Linked DNA regions of Alligator mississippiensis. The protein of the gene in region 1 interacts with the protein of each later gene in a pairwise test. Links are inferred from orthologs where the notes say so. Each region holds a gene or a part of one and is shown on either strand. Other genes may lie near its edges.

Region 1 (7,234 bases):
CTATTCCTCGACTAGAGAGAAGTAATCAAGCCTGGCAGTCATCAATGCTTGTTTATTGTTGCAAAGTCTGATTGTAATAGGATGGGATGGGATTTTCCAGTCAGTTGTAGATAGGATGAGGCATTATTTTGTACCAGAGCTAATTAAGCATCTGAGGAACCTAAAAGGATGACAAAGAATGACTTAAGAAGCTTACTTGAAAGGTTGCATGGTTATAGCAAGTATTAGTGGCCTTTGAGATAATGCAGCTTCTGGGTGGCAGGAAGAGGGAAACACACACCCAGACAAACAACAAACTTCCACTCGTTTCTAAAGACCAGAACTTGGGGGTTATATCGTTTTACTGAACAGAGCTTTCAGGGTACATTACTGCTGCATAGACTACAAAAATGAGGGCATAAACTAGTCTATCTAGGCTGTTGGCTGCACATCATTTTAATGACAGCTGTGATTTTGTGCATTTATATTAACAATAAAACATTGCTTTTTAAAAAAGGAATCAAACCAGAGAGAAATCACAGGGGAATATAAAACTTTGTTTTAAAACATAAAATCAATTAATTTCTTTTTAGTAATAGATTCATGAAGAAAAACATTTTTAATAGCTTCAGTTTTCAGTTTTAACTATATTAATTATGTTCTCTGCAGATTATTGGTCTTACTTTTTTGAGATTCAAAGTAGGTACAAATTTCAAAATATGAGAGATTATTTTGACAAAGTAATTCTGTTAAAGATTAATTTTAGCTTACTCAAATGTCTCTGGAACTATATTGCCTTTTATTCTGTTTCTCGGGCTGCCTGCTAACTAATCTGGCAAAGACTGAAGATTGTCATGCCAATTATAGACATTTTACAGGATTAAGGACTGTAGGATTTCTTATAGTCCACAGACAAGAATGTATAATGAGGAAGGGTTGTGATGCCATTTTCTTAACATTTTGATTCCATTTGAAATGTCTGGTTTGCAACAATGTTTTTTAGGATTTTTTTCCACAATGTGCCCTCAATTTTGGCAAAACTAGGTTCAAACAGGATTGATTGGATTCTGTTTCAATTAATTATAGTATCAGTGAATGAAATTGTATTATAAGGGTTTGCAGAACCAAGGCTATGTACTTGCCTTGAATTCAAGAATCTCTGTTCTCTGAGTCTTTTTGCAAATGCTAGAATGCCTTTGAATTGTATTGCCTACCAGATTGATATAGGATATTGATACCTATGTCTGTTTTGCATTCTTTTTGTCATGTCACTTGGTCTCCAAGGATTTTCCTTCTTTCTTAACAGAGTTCTTTATCTTGTGGCTTAGGTCTCAAAAAGACCATTATTTTTCTGTGGCTATATCTTGCAGGACTGGACAAACGGGATTTTTACACAAGTTCTATGGAAAACTGTCAAGATAAGTAACATTTTAATAGGTAACTGAAATGTGACCTGGATCTCCCAACTTCATGAATTAAATGATAGTGTCTGCATTAGAAGGTATTTGAGAAAATTCCCTACCATTGCTGCGATGCTTTCAGCTCAATAACTAATAACAACGGTGACAGACAGCAAAGGTGCAGCCAAACTACTACTGCTATTTCAGTCATTGCATTCTGCAGGCCTGCTCTCGCCAGGCTGATGGTCGACTGGAGTCCTGTCAGCATTAACCCTCCTACCATTTCTGGCTTGTAGCAAAGGCATAAAAAATACAAGACAAGGAGTAGAACAGCGCTTCACAGGATGAAGCATACATGTGAGGACAGAAAAATGTCATATAGCTTTAGTAATGATGCAATACAAAAAAACCTTACATGAAGAGCATGTTAAGGTTGCAATATCAACTATTCAAAGTAGGGTTGAATTATGCCTGAATTAAGGTTAGAACAATTTTAATTGTGTAATTTGATTTTAATTCTAATATAGGAGTGTCAAACATGGCCCATGGGTTGGATCCTGTCCATGGGGGGCCACTTTATCCCATCTACCAGGCTACTGATCCCATTGCCACTTGCCCTATCCATGGGCGACTGATGCCTCCTGAATCAGCAGGGGGGGGGGGGGGGGGAGGGGGGGCACCTGATTGCTGAGCAGAGGGGGTCCGGCCCATCACCGAGCCCAGAAATGCCAGCAGTGAAACTGGAATTGCCACCAGGGGACCAACCCTCTGTTCCCCCCTGTCGGTACGCCACTGCGGGGGGGGCACCAAGCACCTGTTGACGCTGCCACTGGCAGTGTCAGCAGTGGGGATGGCCCTTTAATTGGGGGGCACATGCCCCGCCCCCGTTCTCTCCCTACGTGTCGCCTATGGCCCTAATATTGTTGTCCATGCCGCTCTCACTGTTGTTCCTGCTAGTCTCCCCACTGATCAAGCTGTCCCCATCCTGTGCTCAATGCCAGATCCAGCCCACAAAGGAGCTGTGCAGTCCAGATACAGCCCAGGGCAGGAGTTTGACACCCCTGCCCAAGTGCAGAGGTTATGATCCAGTCTTCAGTTCTATGAGCACAGACTGTTTTGTGCCGGTCACTGCCTCACTCAGCACCCGGGTTGAACAATGCTCCCTGAAGGAGCAGCTATTCAATGTTTCATTTTCTCCTTATTGTTCACTACATGGCTTGAAGCCTTATTTTCTACACACCCATCATTCCCTGTCCTGAATACCATTATTAGCTTCCTCATGGCACCTTCTGCAAGGTGCTCATCCCAACTATTAATAAAAAATGTGTCCTCCTTGGGAATTAAGGGGATATTTTATTCTCATTGTATGTCTCAGGAATGGAGGCCCAGAGACATTTGCAGCAAATGTGGACACCAAGGTGGGGGGCTCCATTTAAGGACTTGGCATGTCTATTCATTGCAATCTCTGGAGAGACTCCAAGATTCAGGTCTACGACGCCATCATCATCCCCAGTCTCCTCTACAGATGTGAAAGGTGGGTGATTTACTGTTGTCATCTTAAGAGCTTTGGGAGGTATCATCAACGAAAATCTCCAGAAAATCTTTCACATCAAATGGGAAAATTGCTGCACAAATGCCAGCTTCCTTGCTAAAGCCAATGTTGCCTGTGCTGAGTCCATGATCCTTGAGCACAAACTGTGCTGGACTGGGTGTTGTGTACAGATGGCCGACTCTCAACTCCCAAAACAAGTGCTCTACTCCCATCTTGGTAATGGCCTGAGGTCTCGCAGTGGCCAGGGGACATGTTATAAGGACACATTGAAGGCATACCTCAAGAAAATGGATGCTGACATCAAGAGTTGGGATAAGCTGTCTCCTGACCAGCTCCAGTGGCGCTGCAACTGCAAGCAAGCAGCAGCCCATTTTGAGGCAAAGTGTCTTGCTCTCAAAGCAGAGAAGAGAGAGCAGAGGAAGGAAAAGGAGAGAAGACCTGCAACTTCTGCAGACGGATCTATGGCTCAAGGATTGGCCTCAAAAATCATCTCAAGACCCCATCAATGAACTGGGGTAGATCATCCTTGAATCGAGGGATTGCCCCTGACAGTTTGGGGACTTGATAGAAAAAGCAGTGTTTTCTAGCATTTCATCCCTTCAGAGCACTGCTCTCCTGCGACTGGCGCTTGGGGAAGTCAAGCTCCGGTGCCTCATTATCCAGTACTCTCCCTTTGCCTGTGCCATGTTGGAGTGGTGTATTTTGCTAATAGGTTAGACAGGGGTGGGTGGTCCCTTTTATTCCTACTCCCCCAAAGTTTATAGCCAACTGGCAGCAGCCAGGAGCGGATCCAGAGGGGGTGCAGCAGAGGTGCGGCTGCACCCTGGTTTTGAACCGCATTGCCTTGCCCCGCAGGAGCCTCTGAGGACTTTTTCCAAGTCCCCAAAGCAGGTGAGCACTACCCAGTGCTCGGATGCACCTCTCCCCTGCCGGCTGCTGCTGCTGCTTTCTCCCCTGCCGGCTGGGGGGAGGGTGGGAAGCTCCTATCCCAGGACCTTCAGAGAGGCTCCTGCCCCTATTGCCAACCTTGGGGGAAGGGGGTGAGGGGAGCTGGGCTGGGACACAGAAGCTTCCCCGGCCCAGCGCGTCTGCCCAGCTGCAGGCGGAGCCGCTCCGCCCCCGGTGCTTTTCTCCACCTGAAGAGAAAGGCGCGAACGGACACGCCAGCACTCGAACTCGCGTCTCAATCGCGCCGCGCGGCCCTGCGCCCCCACGCCCCGCCCCGCCTCCCGTGTGAGGGGGCGGGGCCACGGCAGCACCTGCAGGCCCTGAGGGAGGCGGCCGCTTCGCAGTAGCGCATGCGCCATCGTAGGCTGGCGCCCCGCCCCCACGCAGCCGCTCGGGCAGGCGGAGGTGGCGGCTGGCGCTCGGCAGGTGAGGGGCGGCGGCCGCTGGGGCCGCGCGCGCGGGGGGGCTACCCTCCCCGCTCTGCTTCTCGCGGCCGCCTCAGGCGCCGGCGGGCCAAGGGGGAGGGGGAGCGGGAGCGGGGCAGAGCCGGCCCCGAGGGACCCGCTGGGCTGTCGGGGCCGCCTGTGGCTCCGCGGCTTGGGAGCAACCTGGGGGCTGCGGTTGAAGCCCGGGGCGGGGGAGATGGGCTTGGTGGTGGGGATGCGGCCCAGATGAGGCGCTTGGGGGGGGAGACTGTGTTTTTTTTTTTTAATTGCTGAGGTGAGAGGGAAATACGCCCGTGATGAGCTGCTGTTGCAGGGAAACCTCTGTGATACCTCAGACAACGAAGCCTGGGTGAAAAGGGGGCCCTAAAAAGTGGGATGGGAAAGAGGAGAGTGTGTCTGAGGCGAGGTGCAAGGCAGTGTCACCCTCACAGTGATGCCTTGTGTTGGGCCAGCGGTATCGGCCTGCCTGGCTCGGACCCCAGCGGCACAGGTTGATTCAATAAAAGGTGTCATCCTAAGTGATCCCAGCCTCCTATCATTTTAGGACCGTCACAGCTGCCACGTGGCTCTTGCGCTGCCCTAGGTGCAGCACTGGACCTAGACTCCTCGTGGCCCCAGGTGAACTTGTATTTGCCAGAGATAATGATAATAATCATAATTATTTTCACCATTTTCGGGCCCCCTTTCTGTCTGGGCCTGGTTCGCCCATGCCTGTGTCCGGCCCTGCCTAGGTGAGAAGCAGGCTCCTAACACTGTTTGCTCAGTTTGATGTTGAAGCTTGCCCTTGAAATCTTGGCCTCCAATGGCATTGTTCTTGAGTTATTTTTTTAAAAGTAGTGCTTACCCACTTAGTATTTGCCACCTGTGGTGCGATAAAGATTGCAGGCTTGTTTTTTATTTCATTTAAGATCTGCAGGCCATATCACACCTTGTCACTGTAGAGCAATGTTTTAGAGGGAGTAGGTTGGTCTAAGGGCATGGGCAGACAAGGTTCTTTGGGTAAATGCGATATCTTTTATTAGACCAACTCAAATAATTGGAAGAAAGATTTTTTCCAACTGAGTTGGTCTAATAAAAGATATCGCATTTACCCAAAGAACCTTGTCTTCTGAGCAGTGGTTTAAATACTCGCACTGTTAAGTAGTGAGGTTTTAATTGACTGCATTATGAAATTAGGGTTGTTTTGGAACCAAAGCATCACCCCACAGATCATTTTTTCTCCTCCTAAAGAAAGTTCTGGGCATAGCTTTTGTACAGCTGACCCAGCACTGCCTGACACCTTCCTATATATTTTGTTTATTGTACTGGATTCGTAAGCTTTATGACAAACTTTTTTTGGCAGACGGCACGCAAAGCAGCAAAATCTTGAGCGGTTATTTGTAGCCGCAGCTAATATATCATTGCAATATTTTCACCAGTTCCGGACTGTTGCCTTACTTTATTTGTTGTTGGCACCCTTGGTCACTTACCTTTACTTTGTATTACTTTATTAGTTTACTCTATTTACTTGAAACTGTCACTTTACACACAGTCAGGTATGGTGACTGTTTTTATGGACTGTTCAGTAACTAACATCATTAGCTGTTTCCTTTTAGGAGCAGGAGTAAGGGTATTTTATTTTGAAGTATGTACTGGCAGATGTCATATGTTTAAGCATATCCATATTCCTTGACAAAGAGAGAGGTTGGGAATATGGAGCAAAAACTGAAGCCTGATTGGTTATGATTTTTTGTAGAGGTTTTTTTGCTTTTTTTGCATTGTATTACGGTTAAGTATGTTTTCATGCATTCTGAGCATGGCTGTATCAGGCTTACCTTTTGGGTCTCATTTAGCAGGATTATACTTCTGTTGCACTAGGTTACTATTACCTTTTGAGTAAAGAAGGATAAATAATTTACCAGTGTCATTATGCTTGTAATAAATAACAAATGTGAATATACACTGCAGCTGACAGTGTAGTACCCAGAACACTTGCATCCTTTTCATTATATTTAAATGGGTAAGCTTTTTCCAGCTGAACAATTAAAACAATCTTTTTCATTGAAGGATTTATTTTTGCATCTTAGAGGAAGATTAATAGTTGTTAGTCTCAACTCCTGTATTCACTTTATTTAAAATTCAGATTGAATGATTTTAAAATTCTAGTGAATAGCTTTTATAGTCTTCTTAGTACATTTTGTTACATCTGTCAAAGAAGCAACTTCCTTCTAACCTTTTTTTTAATGCCTAGTTTTTGTAATAATAGATTCAGAAGTATGGTATTTAAGACTATCTCCATCTCAGTTTAAGTAAAATCTCTTTTGAATAATGCAGGTTCATGCTGATGTCATTCATATAATTACTGTTTTCCAAAAAAAATAAAGAAGGGAGTACTTCATTATGAATGTCTCCAAGCAATTCTGTAGAGCTTTAAAAACCTGTAAAGCATAGTTTTGTTGTTCTAACTAAAAACTTCAACTTTGTTAGCTGCTCAATAGCTATTGAATTCCACTCAATTCAGTAGCAGTGGAACTAGACCTAAAATCCAAAAAGTAGTGTGGACAGACTATTTTGGAGGAACTAACTAAGTTGCATTAACTTAAATGAATTAGCATTTATTGTAAAAATGAAGACTGTATATAGGAAAACACTTAAAATCTAGGACATTGATATGTTAACTGAAAGTGAAAAAAATCCAATTTTAACGACACCAGTGGATTATATTGTGCAGTACTGGCTTTCATTTTAGCAAAAAGGTATTGTAACCCTCAGCTTTTAAGCAGGGTATTAATGTTTTTTATAGACTTCACAAAGCTTTATGGGCATTATAAGCATTTAGGTGTTTATCCTTGAATATTGGTTGTTTCTGGTGACTTTAGTAGGTACAACTCCTGTACGTTGCAGTGTGGTTTTTTTCATGCTGACGATGT
Region 2 (7,706 bases), on another chromosome or scaffold:
CTATGGGGGAAGCTCCCCACCTCATCAGCCATCTGTGTGAGGTCCCTCTTCATGGCATAGGCGTCCTCCCCATCCGCATAGTACTTGGGCTCCACCTCGCTGATCCTACAGGTGGCCTCTTATTAATGGGGTGGAAATATTAAAGGGGGAGCCCAGGACCTGACTGGCACAGACAGTCCCATAGCTCCCTCCAATGCCCATAGCCAGTCCCCGCTGGCAGTCCTCCACTATCCCATCACCCCCAGGCTTCACCCCTACTACCCCCCCCGGCTCTCCCCCTGGATCCTCCACAAGCCTGTCATCCCCAGTCCTTTGCTATCACATCGTTCCCCAGGAGCCACCATTATCCCATCACCCCCCGTGGACTCACTGGAAGTTGAGGGTGTTGGAGTAGAGGTGCAGAGCTGCCCGGTTGCTACAAGACAAGGCGGGTATTAGGTGGGGGGGTGTTGCCCCAGGGCTCCCTAAGGCACAGTATTTGCCCTATCCCCAGGGGGGCATATCTGAGGGGGCAGCTCCCACTTCTGGTGAGGCATGAAGTGGTTTAGAAGAGCGTAAGTCACAGGGCAGGGTCATGAGGTTACCCCCCTCTCCACTCAGATAGTTGGTGTGGCTTCGGAGTTCAGGGGTCAGAGGTCATAGAATGAGTGGTGACCCACAGAGGGGGAACAGGGATCAGCCACCACCATGACACCATGAGGTGGTCAAGATCACAACCCTTTGGCATAATGGTATAAGGAGGCAGGATCACCATGGGATCAAAAGTCAAAACCCCTCCCCAGTGTGTGTGGGGGCTCAAGGTCACCATGGGGTCAAAGGTCAGGGGCCACTCATCACTATGGGGTGTAGTGGTCAGTGTAACTGTGGGGTCAGAGGTCAGGGCTCACACCCTTATGGCGAATGCATGGACAGTCAATGTCACTGTGAGGAGGTCAAAGGTCAAGGCTCATGTATGCATGTGTGTAAGATCAAGATAACCATGAGCTCAATAGTCAGGAGTTACTCACCACTATACTGTGTGGGGGATGAGAGTCATTATAGGGTTAAAAGTCAGGAGTCACTGCCCCTTTGGTCACCTGCAGCCCTATGGACATGGCTGGGGGAAGGCAGGACCAGGGTAGGGGGGATACAGGACTAGACCCAAGGGACCCCAGGGAACTCCAGGCAGGGGCTAGGGGTCACTCACCTCTTGCGGACATGCAGAGACACGTACTTGGCATTGAAATTTTCAATCATGGCACGAGAGGCCTGGTCCATGAGCTTCTGTGCCAGCCCCAGGCGCCGGTGAGAGCGTTTCACTGCCTGGGGGTGGAGAGGATGGTCAGGTACCCCCCAGTCCCCACCCCTGTCCCAGAGAACCCAGGCATCGGGGCATCCAGCCCCTCCCAGACCTCTGAACTAGGGAACCTGGGCATCCAGGCTCCTACCCCCCCCAGTCCCCACTCCCCTCCCAGAGAAACTAGGCATCCTGGTTCTCAGCCCCCTGTTCTCAATTCAAAACCCCCACCCACTCCCAGAGAACCCAGGTGTCTGGGCTTCCAGCCTCCCCAGACCTGCAAACTAGGGATCTCAGGTATCAGGGTTCCAGACCCCTTCTCACGTCCCACCCTCTCCCAAAGAACCCTATCATCCAGGCTCCCAGCACTCTCCTGCTCCTTCCCACCCAACAGACTCCAGAGAACCTAGGAGTCTGGGCTCCCAGCCCCACTTGCATCTGCCCTCCTCCCTCACCCGCTCCAGATCCCCTCCCCAAACCTCCATCATCTCCTTGCGGATGGGAGAAAATCCCCAGACTCCCATGTGCCCCCCACCAAACTAAGTGCCCGGGGTGGGGAAGGGAGGTAGGACTCACCAGAGAAGTGATGTGTCCGTGGGGGACATCATCGGGGTCTTCCTCCCTGGTGAGCAAATGAAGGAGCTCAGTCCCATGGTGGGGGTCTGCAGTGCCCCTCACTCCCAACCCGTAGCCTCCTCTACATCCCCACAATGTCCCTCGTTCCTGACCTGCAGCCCTGCTGATAGCCTCATGGTGCCCTTCACTTCCAATCTACAGCCCCACCTCCAACTACAGACCCACTCAACAACCTCACCCCCATATTGGTGCCCCTCATTCCCAACCTGCAGCCCTCCTGTAGCCTCATGGTGTCCCTCAGCATTACTTCTGACCCGCAGCCTGCCGCATACAGCACAGCAGTGCCCCTCACTCCCAACCTGCAGCCGGTGACCCCACTCACATCTTGGCCAGTACATAGCCTACGATCTTCCCATTCTCATCTTCAGCGATGTAGGACAGCTGGGGGAGCAGATACAAATTAGGGGGCAAGGGGATCCCCCCAATCCTCTCTGTGCCCCTCACTCTGGACCCGGAGCACCCCCCCTCATAGGGCCAGGGGAGTGGGGGAGGGGTGGGGTTCCAGCTGGGAGGAAGGGGTGAGGCATTTATTTAATACCTTTAATGAGGTATGAAATACCCTTGGGCATCTCCTGGGTGGTGGCTGGAGCGACAGGCAGGGCCCTGTCAAACCAGCCTGGGCTCCTATCCACTGCCTTGGCAAGCCTCCCTGAGCTGGGAAGGAACCCAGGCATCCTGGTTTCGAGCCCCCTCCCCTCTCCGAGAACCCAGGAGTCCGGGCTCCTAGTCCCTACTATCACCCCGCCAGACCCCACCCTCCCAAGGAACCGAGAAGTCCGGGCGCACCTGTGGCCAAGACAGGCCGTGGTAGAAGTAGTACTTCATCTGGTAGTTCTCGGGCAGACACAGCAGGTTGCAGTGCTGCATGTTCATCAAGTCCTCGGGCTGCGGGGGGTAGAGAGGGCAGGTGAGAGGGCAGCGGACCCAGGGATCCGGGCCCTCACCCGCCCCCCAACTCCCAAGAGACCCAGGCGTCCGGGCTCCTCACCGCCCCCCCCAGGCACCCAAACCCTCCCCCGCACCCGCGCGTTGCGGATGTTCATGGCTCTCGCTCGGCCACTCCAGGTCCAGCTCCATGAGGGGCCGCCGGGGGAAAGGGGCAGGGCACAGGAAGCCACACTTGCCCTCCCCTCGGGCCAAGCTAGGCAAATCGGAGACCAACTTGGCCCCGCTGAACAGGCCCTTAGGCCAATCAGAGGCCAGGAGCCTCTGGCTTCCAGCTCCGCCAATGGGGAAGCAGGAGGGAAGATGAAGTCCCGTCTCCGCCTGGCTGCCAATCAATCGGCGCCGGATAGCCCCGCCCACCCATGGCCTCAGCTTCCTATTGGGCAACATGGAGGGTTTGGTTTCGCCTACATCCTGAGCATTAGCCAGTCACGAGCGTGGCTGCAGAGTTAAGCCCTACTTCTAGCCAATCAAATGATAGACTCCATAGTCCCGCCCCCATGGTGGAGGCAGCCAATCACATGGTTTAAGAGGCAGGACCAAATCCCGGCCAGTCACAGTCTAGAATCCCTCGATTGGCGTTTGCTTGGGCTCCAAGAAGCCAATCAGTAGACAGGAGGCGGCATCGTCTGCCGAGCCAATCCTGAGCAGGAGACCCCCCCGTGATGGTTTCTCCCGCCCGCTCACCCTCAGCACCAATCATAGCCCTGAAGGGCATGGAGTGACAGTCACGAGGACCAATGAGAGCAAAGGCAAAGGAGGCGATGTCTCTGGTGTAGTGCTGCTAGCTTCTTTGAAGTAGTGTCCTCAGATGGGGGTGGGGTTCAGAGGGTGGGCGTCTAGGTTCTCTGCGAGGGGAGTAGGGGCGGCTCGGAGCCAAGATAACCCAAAGCGGTGGGGTGGGAGTGGGGGGCACCGCCGGAACAGCCGCCTCCAGCCCGCAGTTACCATTACTGTCATTTCCTGGTTTCTTCATCTTGATTGGATTGATTAAAGAGCACAGGCGTCCGGGCTCTTCTGGGACAGGGGCTTCACCCCAAGCCTGACTCGGGGGCGTTTCCTGCTCCCACACTAATGCGGGCTCTGGGGTGGAGCTCCTCACTACCTGGCTCCGGGTGGGCCGGAGTCAAACCCAGTCGCCTGACTCCCAGACTGGGTGGGTGGGCCTAACCCCCAAGCCCCGCCCCGAGGTGGTTTCCCCCCCCCCCCTCCAATGCCGCTGGTTCTGGGGTGGAAGCGGTAGAGGATGGGGGGCTCTGGGGGTGACCCGCCCCCTCAAGAAAGCAACAACCCGGAGGCGACGACTTGAAACGAGTAAAAACCACCCGGCGCTTTATTCTCACGGCGCCCCCGGGACCCAGGCGTCCGGGAGGACCTCCCCTGCCCCCACCCGCACCGCGCTGTACAACCAACGAACCCCCTGCTGAGGGCGGGCGTGGGGTGAAGAGACAAGCAATGAGGAGGGGCGCGGGGGACCTGGACGCCTGGGTTCCCTTCCGGTTGGGGGAGGTGGGGCGGGGAGCAAAGACGCCTGGGTTCCTCGGGGCATTGGAGGGGAGCTACGGGGCGAGGCGGGGACCCCGGTCGTCTGGGTCCGTTGGGCATTGAAGAAGTATGCAGGGGGAACCAAGATGCCTGGGTTCCCTCCAGGGTGGGGGGAGAGGAAGAGGGGCAAGGGCTGAGAGCTAGGGTACCTAGGTTCAACGTTGGAAAGGTGGGGAGCATGGAAGGTGGGTGAGGCAAGGACACAAGACTTCTTTGCTGGCATGGGCTACAGGGAACTTGGGAGGGAGCAGGGTGTGCCCTAGGTTCCCTAGGTATTGGCTGGGGGAGGGGGGGGTATCTGATAGGGATGAGCATTGGGGGAACCTGAATGCCTAGGTTCTCTGTGCTCTGGGGGAGGGGAAGGTTCTAAGCACCTGGGGCCCCTGGCCACTGAGGGAAGGGGGAGGTTGGAGGCAGGGAAGGAGGTAGGGAAGCCTTAGGCACCTAGGTTACTCCCCTTTCCCAAGAGATACAGATGGCAAACCACAAACACCCACAATCACAGACACAAGCAAGCCCCGCAGGGGAGATCCCCCCCCCCCCCCCCCCGCCTGTCCTTGTGCTGGGGGGGGGCAGGTAATCCTAGCCCTCCCACCATTGTCCATAGGCTGGGGGCAGCTGCAAGCAGGGGGGCCTGGCTTCTTGGAGGGAGGGGTATCCCCACTGGATGGATGTCAGGGTTCTGCTCATGGGGACCCCTTTTTCCAGCATCTCCTTACAGGCTCTTCCATTCGTTCAACCCCCTCCTAAAGCCAGCCCCCAGTTCTGTGGCACACCTCCTCCCCCTTGGGGGGGGGGGGCACTTTCAGCTAGTCCCCCCCCTCCCTCCAATTCATTTCAGGACCTTTCCAATGCGGGGGGTGCGTCCCTGTACATGGTCTTGGGAGAAAGGAACCCAGACATCTGGGTTCTTTCAGGCGCTTGTTCCACCTGAAAGTCTGGGGTACTGGTAGCCTAGCCATGGTGTCAGTGTGGTTTGCTTGGCCTGGTAACGCCTCTACAGGGCCCAGGCCAGGCAGCACCAGGTTGACAGTGGCTACAAAGCCTCCCCAGGCACAGTCTTGGTCACTTTGCCCCTGCTGCCTACTTTTCTTGGCAAAACCCCTCCAGACCCAGCAGGGAAGGGTGACAGTGGCTATATTGTCCCTGTGGCCTACTGAACCTAGTGAACCTTCCCCACGCCGGGCTAGGGCAGGAAGTGCCAGACCAATAGCAGCCACATTGCCCGCACAGCTTGCTCGGCCCAGCAAAGCCTCCCAGGCCCTTGCTTGGCTGGGGTGGGCATCGCCAGGGCAACAGCAGCCATGTCACCCCTGTGGCCTATTCTTCTTGGCAAAGCCACCCTTGGCCCTAGACTTAGACCAAAGGTCAGTACTGCAAAAGCAATGGTGGCCATTTTGTCCTTGTGGCTGACTAAGCCTGGCAAAGCCTCCCACAGCCACAAGCTCAGCGGGGCCAGCCTTGCCAGGGCAACAGGCCTTGTGGGAGGTGGAGGCGGGGGGTGGAACTCCCCCTCAGACAGTAGTGACAGAGAGCAGGGGGTTGTAGAGCCGCCGGCCGTCGGCCCCACGGCTGCCATGGGCCAGCATCTCCTGGATGGTCAGCCAGTTGTCGAGGATGCGGCGGCTCCGCTTCCTCAGTGTCTTGCGGTGGCCCAGGGCCACGGCTGAGGTCTCGGGGGATGCCCCTGCTGCTTCCAGCCGGCTCTGGAGCATCAGCTCACGGCGCCGGCGCTGCTCCCGGGCTCGGGCCAGGTGCTGCTTGCGTTCTTCTCGGCTCCAGTAGCGGCCCAACTTCAGCTCGCTCATGGCATCGTCATCGGTTGTCATCCCGCTTCTTTCCTCCCTGATCTTCAAGGCCCGTGCCTTGAGAAGCCGGTCTCTCACAGGCCTCTTGGCACCTTTGCCCCGCCATTCCCCACCCCGGCCTACTCCTGGCAAGGCTTCGCTGGCACACAGAGGCACTAGGCCTGGCGGTGCTGAAGCAACAACAGCCATGTTGTCCTTGCGGCCTAGACGACTGGGTGAAGCTTCCCGGGGGCTACGCTTGGTTGGACGGGCCTCACTAGGGCGCCGAGTTTTTGGGGGACCTGGAGGCCGGTTGAGGTTGCCCATGGGGGGCTGGCGGAGTGGGCTCTCCAGCTGAGGGGTGCTGCGGCAGCTCTCACCTGTGTTATAGGCGCTTTCAGGGAGCTCCGTGATATCAGCCAAGGCATGGGGGGGGCCGCCTAGGGAGACTTCATAGCCCCCTGGCCCCCCATCTTCCAATAGCCAGGCCTTGAGGCACCGCTCCCGCAACTGCTGCATCTTTTGGGCACGGAGAATGTTGCGGCACTTGAATTCCAGGTGCCGCAGCTCCTCCTCCAGCAAAGCTACCTCATTGCGGTTGACATCCAGGCCCCCTGGCACCCCCCGGTAAAGGGGGGGACCCTGGTTGCCATTCTGGAGGTGCCCCCGTAGCTCCAGAAGCTCACGATATCTTTCAGCCTCCTCCGGGGTGAGGCCTGGGGTGGCTGGGGGGCTAGGTGGAGGGACCACAGCATCTGGGAGGGGCTCACCACGGCGCTGCAGGGCTGGGGTGCCAGTGCCGCTGGGGGGCTCATCACCTAGCAAGTCATGCTCCGAACTCTCCTCATTGCGGGTGCTCTCATCTGTGCGGCCAACCCCACTGTCTGGCTCCCCCAAGGCCGGAGGGGCTGCAGGGGGGGGCAGTGGCAGGGCTGGGGTGGCCATTTGGGGCTGTGGGGGAGGGAGAGAAGGAGGCTGGTGGGGAGAAGACCCAGGTGTCTAGGCCCCCCGCTACAGTACCGTGGCTCGGGAGCAGAAGACAACCCAGGGTGTGGCTGGGGCCCAGGCACCTACACCCGAGAGGGGATTGTGAGGGGGAACTCAGCTGTCCACGACCCCCAGCTCCAACCCACAGCAGATATGGGGGGTGTTAGGAAAGAGAACCTAGGCATGTAGGCTCCCAGCCCCACCCCTGATGGGCCCCCCCTCATCTCACCTGGCCTGGGGCAGCACGGGGGGGTCGGGGTCGTGCCTCATCCTCGGGGTCAGAGCCGAAGTCATCAAGGAAATCTTCGCGGTCACTGTCCTTCCAGTGCTTTGACAGCTGGGGTGGAGAGTTAAGAGCCAGCCCCTCCCCAGTGGGGCCCCCCTTTGCTGTCACGCCCCCCTCCCCCCCCCCGGGCTTCCCAATCCCCTAGCACATTTTCCTCAGCCCTCCACTACCCCAATCCCTTCCCCCCCACAGCCAGCTCCAATCTCTTAACCCATTTGCCCAGCCAGCCTGGGATCCCCTAAAG

The links. The genes of interacting proteins can lie anywhere in the genome.
Region 2: the proteins of RAB3IP (region 1) and NAA10 interact in binary tests that used the Homo sapiens proteins (3 or more experiments, as listed by UniProt). The two-hybrid records come from large-scale screens. The link is inferred for Alligator mississippiensis from reciprocal best matches to the Homo sapiens genes RAB3IP and NAA10.

The regions. Positions count from the first base shown.
Region 1 is NC_081827.1:70,099,768-70,107,001, forward strand, and holds the start of RAB3IP (rab-3A-interacting protein), read left to right. Parts: upstream 1-4,223; 5' UTR 4,224-4,305; intron 4,306-7,234. UniProt on the Homo sapiens protein: Guanine nucleotide exchange factor (GEF) which may activate RAB8A and RAB8B. Promotes the exchange of GDP to GTP, converting inactive GDP-bound Rab proteins into their active GTP-bound form.
Region 2 is NC_081831.1:28,666,430-28,674,135, reverse strand, and holds the start of NAA10 (N-alpha-acetyltransferase 10), read right to left. Parts: upstream 3,046-7,706; 5' UTR 2,956-3,045; coding exon 2,935-2,955; intron 2,798-2,934; coding exon 2,699-2,797; intron 2,294-2,698; coding exon 2,235-2,293; intron 1,899-2,234; coding exon 1,853-1,898; intron 1,303-1,852; coding exon 1,187-1,302; intron 416-1,186; coding exon 371-415; intron 106-370; coding exon 21-105; intron 1-20. Other genes in the region: PDZD4 (PDZ domain-containing protein 4), read right to left, coding at 5,917-7,140, 7,406-7,513. UniProt on the Homo sapiens protein: Catalytic subunit of N-terminal acetyltransferase complexes which display alpha (N-terminal) acetyltransferase activity. Acetylates amino termini that are devoid of initiator methionine.